2 linked regions of the Caenorhabditis elegans genome follow. The protein of the gene in region 2 interacts with the protein of the main gene of each other region in a biochemical or structural test. Each region holds a gene or a part of one and is shown on either strand. Other genes may lie near its edges.

Region 1 (6,062 bases), 4.6 Mb from region 2:
CTTCTCTTTTACTTCGTTTTTTATCTGACTATGTTTGTTCTTACCGCAAGATAGCACGCGTGCTCCTTTGCGTCTGGGTTATAGATCAAAAAATGAAGAAACGGTTTTGCGGGGAGTTTTTTGGGGTTTTGGCCTAAATTTTTTTGTTTAATTTTGATGCTTGGTCTATGATGTGAAATTGAGAGTGTGAAGATTGAAAAAAATCGGAGATATATTTAAAAAATGAATGTGAATACGAGAAATCAATCAAAATAAACAATTATTCTAAAAAACAAATCGATAATTGAAACTTCCAGGTTACGGTAGTTTTAAAGGCACACAACAATTCACTTGCTTTGGGTCTCGCAGCGCATATGGTTCACTTTTTGAAAATTTTATTCTGAGCTTGATTTTCTCCATTTCAAACATGTTTTATTTAATTGAATTTAAGATTTATTTGTGTTTTCATTGTGAAATATTTATCCGAAAGTCTCACCAAGACATTTCTCGATATCTACTGCCATAAAACCCATCCAGCATTCCTGTCTGTCCGATCACATCTCGGAGCGCTTTTCTGTTGAAAAAACCTTGGCATTGAAAAATAGCGTGTGAGATGAAGAAATACAAAGAAAACAAGAATAGAGAGGAAACGGGGCACAAACGAAGAGACAAGAAAATGATGTGTGCAAGGCGTTTGTGTTTCGGTTTCAACACTATTTAAAATATTCGTTTTTCTTTTGGTTTCTGGGTTTTGAAACCAGTATTTAATTATAACTTAAATTTTTCAAAAGCTAGAAAATCATTGATAAAAGCTTTTTTTTTAATTTTTAAGTTATTTTCGATTCCGCAGAAAATCTTTTGCACTATGAAATCAAAAAGATACCAATCATCAAAAACCTCTGAATCTCATCTCTTTCCCGTCGAAAAAATAACATAAAACATTCGTTGCCACCAGATATCCACCAACTGTTGATTATATCAGATCATCTCATTTTTATCTCCATTCCATCACTTCAAAGCCTCTTTGCAACGAAGGTGAGAAAGAAATTGAAAATTCTGCTTCTCTTCATCTCTTCTCACCGTTCTTATCTGCTTGTCAGTTCTTTTTTTGCGGCGGTTAAATATCATTCAATTTTCAATTCATTTTCTTATTCGACAATTCTCTCCTCTGCACCTAAGATCACCTGCATCACGTTTAATCCAATATGGGTGGTTTAATCAAGTCTTATAGAAAGAAATATGAATAGCTGGAAATTGATATTTCTTTTTTTCTAACTTGGAAACAACCTGATAATACATTAGTTCAAATCGAAATTTGGACTTTTGGAATAATTTGGAAAAACCAAATGCAGATGTAGAGGTGAAATAAAATTACTGTTCCAAAAAAAAAAAAAATACTGTTCCATGCTCATTTCTTTTTCCAATTTCTTTTCCATCTCCTATTGATACTGAATAAGTGATTCCTTTTTTCCGATATATCGCCCTCCGGCGCCCTGCTCCCCTTGTATAATTTCTCTTTATCTCTACCACTCTCCCCACTTTCAATGATCACTTTTTGTCCTGGCGCCTGACCCTTCGTCCATCCGATGCCGTCCATTTTTCATCTCTTTTTCTCTGCATTTCTCCATTTTTATCATACTATTTCCGTTCATTTTTCTTTTAGTATGGTGTAGAAATAGTTGTTCACGGTGGTTCAGTTGCTAGATGGGTGCAAACGCGCTCCACCGAACAAACATGCATAACTTGGCAGGGAAGTACAAAATCAAACATTCATCACAAATAAAGATAGATAATTTCATTGCGGTCATTTCTTATATGCATCGCAAAATCGACTTTGTGACGGTTTTCGAGATAGTAGCCAATATATGTTTCCAGACTGAGTATCATGAACAAACCCATCTAGTTTCTGTGCTACCGGGTGTTGATGGACGCTACTGCAAGCGCGCTGTGTTGAGGACAATAGATGATTGGCGCGGTGCCAACATCATCCGTTTGTTCAGTTTTGACATTTTCCAATCTTGCTTCTATTTGAATTTATAGTTTCTTTCTATAATTTTAATTTCATCATCGGAAGTTCAGCAATGCTTTTAATTAAAAATCTCACAATTAAGTACTGAACTACATATATGTATATTACTTTATTTAAATACGTGACGATTCTCAAAAAAAAATTTTAAAAATCTTTTTCAGGATGTCGACGGTAGTATCGGAGGGAAGGAATGATGGGAATAACCGATATTCACCACAAGATGAAGTTGAAGATAGGCTGCCAGATGTAGTTGACAATAGGCTTACTGAGAACATGAGAGTTCCTTCCTTCGAGAGGCTCCCGGTAAGTTTTTAGTTTTTTGTTTAGAATTATAAAATTATCTAATTTCCGAAAATTTTTCGTTTAAGCCAAGTTTTAATTCTCAATTTTTAAGCATAGTTAATTATAAAACATTTTCGCAAATGACTCTAAAATTAACTTTGACAATTCAATCAAACCTTACTGAATCTATCGAAACCCAGAAACAGTTTTATTTTGGTTTCTGGTGTTCCAATTTTTAGATTTTCAGAAATTTTCGGTAAATATTTTTGTAACAGTTTTTAGTTGAAGACTCCAAATATTTTTTTTGATATTTCGAAAATGTCAGTTAAGGATTTGGTACATTTCCTAAAATTTTGATCTTATTGAGAAATTTCTAGCATTGTTACACTTTTTATGATGATAATCGACCATTTAAGCATAGTACAGATAGTTTCAAACAATTTTGGAATTACTCTGACTTTGAAATTTTTTTTTTAATTGTAGAAACTTGTTTTCTTAGAATTACGCATTCTTACAAAAGATATAGAATGTTCATAAGATGTTTGAGTCGATTTCCCATTAACTGCAGGTGCATTTCATTCTTCCATCATCCGTAAATCATTATTTGGTATACGGTATCTCTCTCCTTTCTAACACTTCCGCGCGGAATAAAAACAGAGATTCAGAGAAATAGAGAGAGGTCAGCTGAGAAGAAGAAGTGTCGCGCACACAGCTCCTCGCCCAATGCCCTCCTGTCGGTTTCTCTGTGAACACTCCACATTTCAAATGATCTCTAATTCAGTTCCTCCACCGCTCACTCATCCTTTCCTCGAATCTCTGGGTTTCCTCGCCACTCTTTTTTTCTCTGTGCTCTCTCTCACCCATTACTATTATTATTTGTATGTGTGGTATTGTTGTTCTGTATATTTGATAGGTTGTATTCTCTAGTTAACACATAGTTCTAATTAGAACAATGATTGAAGCCGCTTTGGAGAATCCGGTGCCCATCAAATCTCAATTGGTATGTAACTAATTGAAATTGCAACTGAAAAAATATCACTGTTTATTTATTGATTCGATTGTAAATAGTCTCGAATTTCCAGTGACGATTCGGGGTAAAACCGGAAAAAAAGTAATTTATAAATAAAAGTCGGAGCGACGAGAAGAGCTTTAATTAAAAATATCTTAACGGTTTAGCAATTTAAAAAAAATATTTAGTTACCTAAATACTTTGAGAGTGGATTATTTATGGTGTTAAAATGAGGAAATATTACTGAAAACTCAGTAAATTAAAAAATTTATATAAAGAAGATGTCAATTAATAACTGCGTCATAATGCCTTTCAAATAATTTAATTTTTTCAGTCACCAACACCTCGATACTTTGGCTCATGCAAATGGTTTAATGTGTCGAAAGGATATGGTTTTGTGATCGATGACATCACCGGTGAAGATCTATTCGTTCATCAGTCTAATCTCAATATGCAAGGATTTCGGAGTCTTGATGAAGGAGAACGTGTATCATACTACATTCAAGAGCGATCGAATGGAAAAGGTAGAGAAGCTTATGCGGTTCGTTTTATTTTTATTTTTTCTAACAGCAAAAGTTAAAAAAAAGGTCAGCGTTCTTTAAATTTGTTTTTTCATCAAAAAAACCTGACAAAAATCAAGCATAATTCATAAAAGCTTTTCCTATTCTGTCAATTAGAAAGTATATTAGTTCTTACGAATTCTCTTTAATCTTTGTCAGTATTTTTGAAAAATAATATTTAAAAACTAAAAAAAAACGCTGCTTTAACCTATATTTTGAATGCGAGAGAAACTTTGCTTATGGTATTTTTGCGCAATTTATTGAGATACGGGAATCCGAAATTCTGAGAATGCGTATTGCACAACATATTTGACGCGCAAAATATCTCGTAGCGACAACTACAGTAATCATTTTAATGACTATTGTAGCTGTGTCGATTTAGGGGCAAAAAAAACACGAAGAATAAAAAAGAAATATCGCTGTCACTATTCGAAAAGAATTTCATTCGAGATCGTAAATCGGCACTAGCGCTAATTACAGTAGTATTAAAAAAATTACTGTAGTTTTCGCTACAGGATATGTTGTCAATGCGCATTCTCAGTTTTTTGTTCCAGTGCAATATTAAAGCAAAATAATAATGTAAATTGAAAATCCAACTCAATTTTATACAGTTTTCAGGTATCAGGAGAAGTAGAAGGACAAGGACTGAAAGGAAGCCGAATTCATCCATTGGGTCGTAAGAAGGCTGTCTCACTACGTTGCTTCAGATGTGGAAAGTTTGCGACTCACAAGGCGAAAAGTTGTCCAAACGTAAAAACCGATGCAAAAGTGTGTTATACCTGTGGATCCGAGGAGCACGTGAGCTCAATCTGTCCTGAAAGACGACGAAAGCATCGACCGGAACAAGTTGCCGCAGAGGAAGCAGAAGCTGCGAGAATGGCAGCTGAAAAATCATCACCGACTACATCTGACGATGATATTAGAGAAAAGAATAGTAATTCCTCTGATGAATAGAATCATCTAGACACTGAGAATATTGATAGAGAAATAATGGAATATATGGTCTCAAATAGATTTTGTCTCGAAATTCTTGAACATCCAAATTTAAATGTGAAAATTTTAGGAAATAATTTTGAGCTTTCTGATAGTTTTTCAGCTTTTGAAATGTATTTTATTTTGAAACCAATATTTATTTCATTTTCTGTCTCATCTAATTCTCAGTTTGCATGCGTTACTTTAACTTACACACTAACTCTTTTTTTATTCAAATTTTGATGTTTTTTTTTCAATTGTTTTACTCAAATTTCCCCTCTAAACCATACTACCACCTACCTCCTCAAATTGCACTCTCAGGGATTCTTTTTTTTTTCAAATAGAACTGATTGCACCTGTTTTCAGGATCTATAAATCTTATAATATATTTAACTTTCGTGTCTTTTCATGTTCATGTATTTCTTGCTGAAATCCATCATTTTCTCTGAAAATCTCTACTCGTAAGTTCCGCTATTGCGGGCGAACGCTGAAATAAATCGAGAGTTTTGTTTTTATATTGATTGAATACATATTTATCACAGAATCATGCAATTTAACAATCCTCAACAAGTTGGCGGGATTTGGCAAGAATTGATTGTTGGGTGGATACAAGGTCGAGAATCGTCTGAAAAATGGATTTGAAATTAAATTCCTGAGATTTTCAATACCTGAATAGAATTTCTATAAATTTTTCGAGCGTCCTTTGCAGCAGCCGGCTCAAGAACCCCAAACGGACGGAATTGTCCAGAAAATGTTTTTTTGGCTTCTTCAACGTCTTCTGATTCTCCGCTATTCTTCTTTTCTGATTTATTCTCGTCCTTCTGCAAAAAATTTAAATGTAAATTTTTGTGGAACAAAAAACGATTGCAAAAAACCTTTTTCTTATTCTTTTTGTCGTTTTTCTCTTCCTCATTCTCTGAATTTTTGAGAAGTACAAATTTCCCGTTTTTCGTATCCAATCTAAAAATGAATACACTTAAGTAAGTATAATTCAAAAAAAAGTAGTTTATACCTGATAGATGGCTCCAAATCGTGTGTATCGACAGAATTAACACTGAAAAGACCAATTCCGTGCGTTGTTCTGAACAATTTCTCGATAAAGATTCATTTTACGAAACGAATAAAACTTACTTTGCTTTAGAAATACACAAACTTGCCAAGTTCAAGTCTTTTCGAAGTTGATCGTGAAGGGTGATGAATTTGTCGATTAATTCCATTTTTTCGAGGTATA
Region 2 (5,523 bases):
GAACGTATGAGATCCAGTACAAAGAATATGGATAACTTCTCGTTTCATCTGATCCATCGGACGAGTCTTTCCAACTCCGTATGTATACCGTTCACAGAGAATCAGAATCAGACATTGTATGAACTCTTCAGCGATCATCACCAACGTCTTACTCAGATCCTCTGATTCCGGTTTCGCTGGTTTCTCATTCGCCTTGTCTTGTTCAAACTCGGATGTAGCCCATTTAAAGAGACGGAATCGATGAAGAAGGTGGAAAATGAATTTTGTTGACGGTGTGAGTGCAGCTCCTACTTGCATCATCAGAACATCACGATCGAACATCTCATTTCGACAGAGTGGAGAGAAATAATTATGAATCTGGTTTATCAGCGAAAATCCATTTCTTCTCCAAAGTGTCGCGTTGGATTGTGCACACAGGACGAGCACTCGGAGACTCAGTTCGTAGAGATTCGTCTCGTCCTTACAGTTGATAAGTTCTTTGATTCTTTCTTGATTCAAACTCGTATGTGAATTATTACTTCTATTCAACAAAAATCCCGTGTAATTCGAAGCACTAAAGAGACCCGCGATAATTCGAACAACCGGCTGATGGACCGAGGTGGATGATTTAAGCACGTCAAAATGTGATATTCGACATGATTCTCCGTTGATAGTGACCGTCAATTCATAGGTATCCTCCTCGGATTTTGTATAGACAGGTGGCATACGATTCATCAATTCAAGGCACATTATCATTAGACGATTATGAACTTCTTCCTGAAAATCCAATTATTTTGAGATTTTTAATTACTTCAGGAAAACTCACATTAGTTTCTGCCCATCCAATAATCATCGAAATCGCGTCTTTCAATCGTAAAAGGATATTGAACGCTGTTTCCCACTCAGATTCCCACACTTGATGCTCAACGGCTTGTCGTTTCACCTCATCCATTCCTTGCAGATGCTGCAGGAAAAGCAGAAAATCAGCGAATCCTTGAACAAATCCATCGATAAGTTCTCGATTCCAGTCGCTTTCCGATGGCACAGCATTCAGGATATAGGCCATATCTCGAGTGATATGAAGGGATCTTCTTAATTCTGGTGGAAATGAGCGACTTGTGAAATCAAATCTCGCGATTTTTCCGTCATTGTAATCTGAAAATTAGAGAAATTCAAATATTGGTTTGATACAGGGGAGGGCGGCTTTATTTCTATATTTCCGGCAAAACGGAAATTGCCGAAGTTTTCGTTTTTTCGGCAAATTGTGGTTTTGCACATTTCTTTTTTGAAAATTTGAGAATTTCAATTTCAATCGGCAAAATTGTACGCATCGTATAAATGTTCTCACATCTATTTTGAAAAGTAAGCAAATTTTATAAAAATAGCTGAAGAAAATAAGAAAAAATTTCAAAAAAGAATCCCAGTTTTAAGTGTTTCCGTCTAACAACTTCCGGAAACTTGCCAAAAATCAAAATTTCCGCCCACGTCTGGTTTGATATTTTCAAAACTCACACTTCACAAATTTATCAGTCTGATCCCGAATCGCTTTCGATATCACACTGAATGCTTGATCTTCGGCGACAAGTTTCCGAGCCAGACTAGGAACAGTCATGAATTGAACTGATAACCCAACAACTGAAACATCCATCTCATGATCATCTTTAATGAAATCCTCGTAAATTTCATTATAATGTAGCATAAAAGCCTTTGCAAATCGAACTTTCTGATCATAAATCATGAAAACTGTCCGCATGAGCATTTGATGCAAAATCGATCTTCCAGCTTTCCACATTTGTGTATCCTGGAGAAGAATATTCTCTAGCATTGTGAATGTTGAAGAATCTCGTGAAGGACCTGGAGATTCTTGATGTTCTGAAACTCCTGCCAACGCTGCTGTTATCTCTTCTTCATCATCCGCGTCAATTTCCATTTGCAGAGCTTCTCCACCAATATCGTCGTCATCCATTTCATCAACATCCATTCTTCCATCAAGTGCGAATAGTTCTTCCTCTTCATCATCCGGCAAAACCATAACATTTCTGATAATTCCGGCAACTAGACGTTGATCCTCTGACTTCATTTTCCGCGTGTAATTCTTTTTCAGTGCAAACTTTGAACTCAGCAGAATTTCTCCAACAATTTCGCGAAGGGGAGCTGAAAATAAAAACACGATTTCGAATAATGAAAAGAAATAAAAAGAAATAAAAACTAACGAAAAACATCCATCTGTGTGTTGAGCCAAGTAAGAAGGGAGATCGAAAAATTCTGAAGCGCGAAAAGCGTGGTATCCATAACCTTAACACTTAACGGTAGATTATGATTCGATGATCTTCGAATTGACGTTGGATCTCGAGCTGTTTTTCTCTGAACATCATCCTTAGCTTTGGTGCAATCAGCCTTACTGCCAAGTTTCACAGCACTTCGACCTTCTCGATCGACAATTGTGGCTACAAGCATCGCCTGATCCTTTGTACAATGTATGTACAATTCCAGAACTTTGATCACCTGGAAAAAACGGGGAAATTGAAGATTTAATTGAAATTCGGAATATTAATTACTAACAGATTCATAAGTGTGAGTTTCATCATTGTAAAGAACCGTCAAATATTGCTGTGCCTCATTTGTAACCTCTGGCTTCATTTTCTCGAAAATTTCGGGAAGTTTGAGATCATCTTTATGAGTGATCATTGAAAGGGAAAACTGTAAAATGATTTCCACCAGCTGTTCACATCGTTTTTTCAATTCTGGAGCCAACACTGCCGCCTCTTCATCGTCCTTTTTCTCGTGATTTGCACATGCGTAACCTTCTGTCCATGCATCTGCATCACCACAGTCACAATATCCCGAACCGGAGGAAGAGTGCATCTGGAAATTTTTTTTCAATTATAAATTGGATTTACTTAAATATGCGTGTTTTATCATTCATATTCGCTCAAAATAATCAAAAACTTTTCAAGATTTTGTCTATGTTGGTTTAAAATTTCGAGAAAAAGGGCAAGTTTCGGCTAAAATCTGAATGTTTTTTTTCAGAAATTTTCTGTGGAAATTGATTCATTTTGAGGCATCCTCACTTTGTATTTATGAGATTTATGAATTGAAACTTCAAAACACTGAAGACACATGACACATGTCCCATCAGTGGCACAATCCAGACATGTATACGTAAGTTCTCCGTTTTTAAATACATGGCCACAAATTTGTCCCCGTCTTGCAGGATCAACTCCGGCAATGCCATTCATTGCTTCCAGTGTGCTCTTTGTGTTCCGAACGTCTAGTACAAATGCACTGACCAGTGGGGCTAGGAGAATCTCTCCTTGGGAACCTGAAGCAAAATTGGCTTTTTAATATATATGTTTTTTTTTTCAAAAAAACCCACCTAGAATTCGTTCATTCGCGGCTGTATTGTCCCATGGCAAATCCGAATTCACTTCGAACACCTCTGGGACCTGTACAAGCCAGTGCTTGAGCAGCAGCTGGCGTACTTGGGCCCATTCACCCTGTCGAGCTGATTGTATTAAATCGACAATCATTCCATTAGTCGAACTGAAATCGGTAGCTTGATAAAATAGGAGCATTTCATCTAAGAAAAAGAGGATTCGTAAAAGAAAATAAAATATATTGATTATTTTCCGACCCCCCGATTATGCTGCTGATGACCATATCAAAATAAGCGAACGAGAGGACAAAAAGCAGTGATGGGAGGCAAAAATGATGACAGTGGACACTAGGAGAAAGTGAAGGAGATGAGAGAGAACGGGAGGATATAGATTTGCTTCTCTCTCTCTCTGTTTTCGATGCGAGAGTGTTGCCGCAGATAAAGAGCTCTCACGGACTCGGTGCAATGCATCGTGGATTAAATAATTCAACAATGAGGAAATTGAACTATTAAAAATATTGATTATTTTTACGTGTCAGCGAATTCACTGGCGAAGCAATAAAAAAAAACTTTTTTTTAAAATCAGACTTTAGAGCACGTGGACTTTGAATGTTTCACTCATATAACGTCAAAATAATTTAAAACTATATTTTAATAAAAGTTATTTGACTTTAAAAGCAATAAAATATACTTTTTCACCGAAAAAATAACTGATTTCGCGAAAAAAAACAATCTAAAAAAATAAAAATAAAACCCTTGGGAAGTGGATCGTGGCGAGACCCTGAAGGTGAGGCATGCGCCTTTAAGTGTTCGGACTACGGTACACAAATTTCTCTTTTTGTTTTCAATTTCCTAATTTGCGTGGATCGCTGAGAGTTGTTAGATTTTTGAGTTTGTATATAGTTTTCTTTTTTATTTTCATCAAAAATTAAAGTATTTCTTCGTGAAAAGTACTTGGTCAGCAGGAAAAAAAGGTTCTCCCGCGTTTTTACCCCTTTGTGATAGAAAACTTTGCATATTCAGAAGCTTGCTCATCGTTTCGATGATCGAGATCTTTCTTCACATTTCATAACTTTTTTAAAATATCAGTATAAAAAATGGATCAATATTATAAGTTGTAATCGAGAAGTTAGAATAGCAATAGAAACCACAAAGACATTCGGGCCCAAAAATATTTATATTTTCAAACTAACTGCAGCACATGAAATTATCTTCGATTTTTCTCCTTCACGCCGACGTCGCGTGCTCCTCCCAGCCGCCGGCCTAGTCTGCGGTGTTTTTAGGCCATCATTTTCGCGCGACCACCAAATCATTTTTCGAATCTCGACGCGCTCATTTGTGCACTCAAATGACTATTTTCTGCCTCTCTGTCGTTTTCTTTTTGTCAAATAATATTGCTGCCCTTTAAAAATATTAAAAATATCATTCCAGATCAAATGTTTGGAGGATCTGCACCAAAACCGTCGATTTTCGGAGGAACCGCTGCTACCACAACAGCCTCATCTGGATTTTCTTTCGGTAATTCGAGCACATCAACAGCGAACACAGGTATCGATCGATGAAAAATTCAACTAATTTATTTTTTTCGTTTTTAGGCGGAAACACGAATACTACCGGAGGTTTTTCTTTTGGATCCGCACAGCCGAGCACTGGAAGTACTGGACTTTTCGGAAACAGCACAGCTACTGGTAGGTTTTTGGTTTAATAAACTTGTAAAATACGCTCCCGTATTCAAAAAGTATAATTTTAAATTTTTCAGGCTCAATGTTTGGAGGCTCCTCTGCTGCAGCTCCAGCCCCAGCGTCTGCTGGAATCTTTGGAAATTCTGGTGCCGCGGCGCCAGCTCCCGCTTCAACGAGCATTTTTGGAAGTTCTGCAAATTCAGCAGCACCTGCTACAGTAACGTTTGGCGCAAGCGCACCATCAGCTGGTGCTGGCATGTTCGGAGCTAATAAACCAGCTGCTCCAACTGGCGGCTTGTTCGGATCATCCACAAGTACCGCAACAACTGCACCAACTGGCGGGCTTTTCGGTAGCTCAACTGCTGCGCCATCAAGTGGATTATTCGGATCCACGGCCGCTCCAGCAGCACCAGGAGGACTATTTGGAAGCACTTCCACCTCTACAGCGGCTCCATCCGGCGGCTTATTCGGATCTTCAGCTGCTCC

The links.
Region 1: of the proteins of ubr-1 (region 2) and lin-28, one has a biochemical effect on the other in vitro, tested with the Caenorhabditis elegans proteins (one study listed by BioGRID).

The regions. Positions count from the first base shown.
Region 1 is NC_003279.8:8,406,912-8,412,973, reverse strand, and holds lin-28 (Protein lin-28), read left to right. Parts: upstream 1-2,169; 5' UTR 2,170-2,170; coding exon 2,171-2,311; intron 2,312-3,053; exon of another isoform or gene 3,054-3,242; coding exon of another isoform or gene 3,243-3,290; intron 3,291-3,633; coding exon 3,634-3,840; intron 3,841-4,477; coding exon 4,478-4,813; 3' UTR 4,814-5,342; downstream 5,343-6,062. Other genes in the region: F02E9.1 (Vacuolar ATPase assembly protein VMA22), read right to left, coding at 5,385-5,456, 5,500-5,652, 5,707-5,791, 5,844-5,912, 5,963-6,048. UniProt on the Caenorhabditis elegans protein: Heterochronic protein which controls the choice of stage specific cell fates. Regulates the timing of the second larval stage events (L2 events) in the hypodermis.
Region 2 is NC_003279.8:3,813,288-3,818,810, forward strand, and holds the start of ubr-1 (E3 ubiquitin-protein ligase ubr-1), read right to left. Parts: upstream 3,523-5,523; 5' UTR 3,510-3,522; coding exon 3,356-3,509; intron 3,302-3,355; coding exon 3,051-3,301; intron 2,845-3,050; coding exon 2,542-2,844; intron 2,485-2,541; coding exon 2,193-2,484; intron 2,134-2,192; coding exon 1,492-2,133; intron 1,135-1,491; coding exon 806-1,134; intron 757-805; coding exon 1-756. Other genes in the region: npp-11 (Nsp1_C domain-containing protein), read left to right, coding at 4,792-4,903, 4,951-5,043, 5,115-5,523. UniProt on the Caenorhabditis elegans protein: E3 ubiquitin-protein ligase which is a component of the N-end rule pathway. Recognizes and binds to proteins bearing specific N-terminal residues that are destabilizing according to the N-end rule, leading to their ubiquitination and subsequent degradation.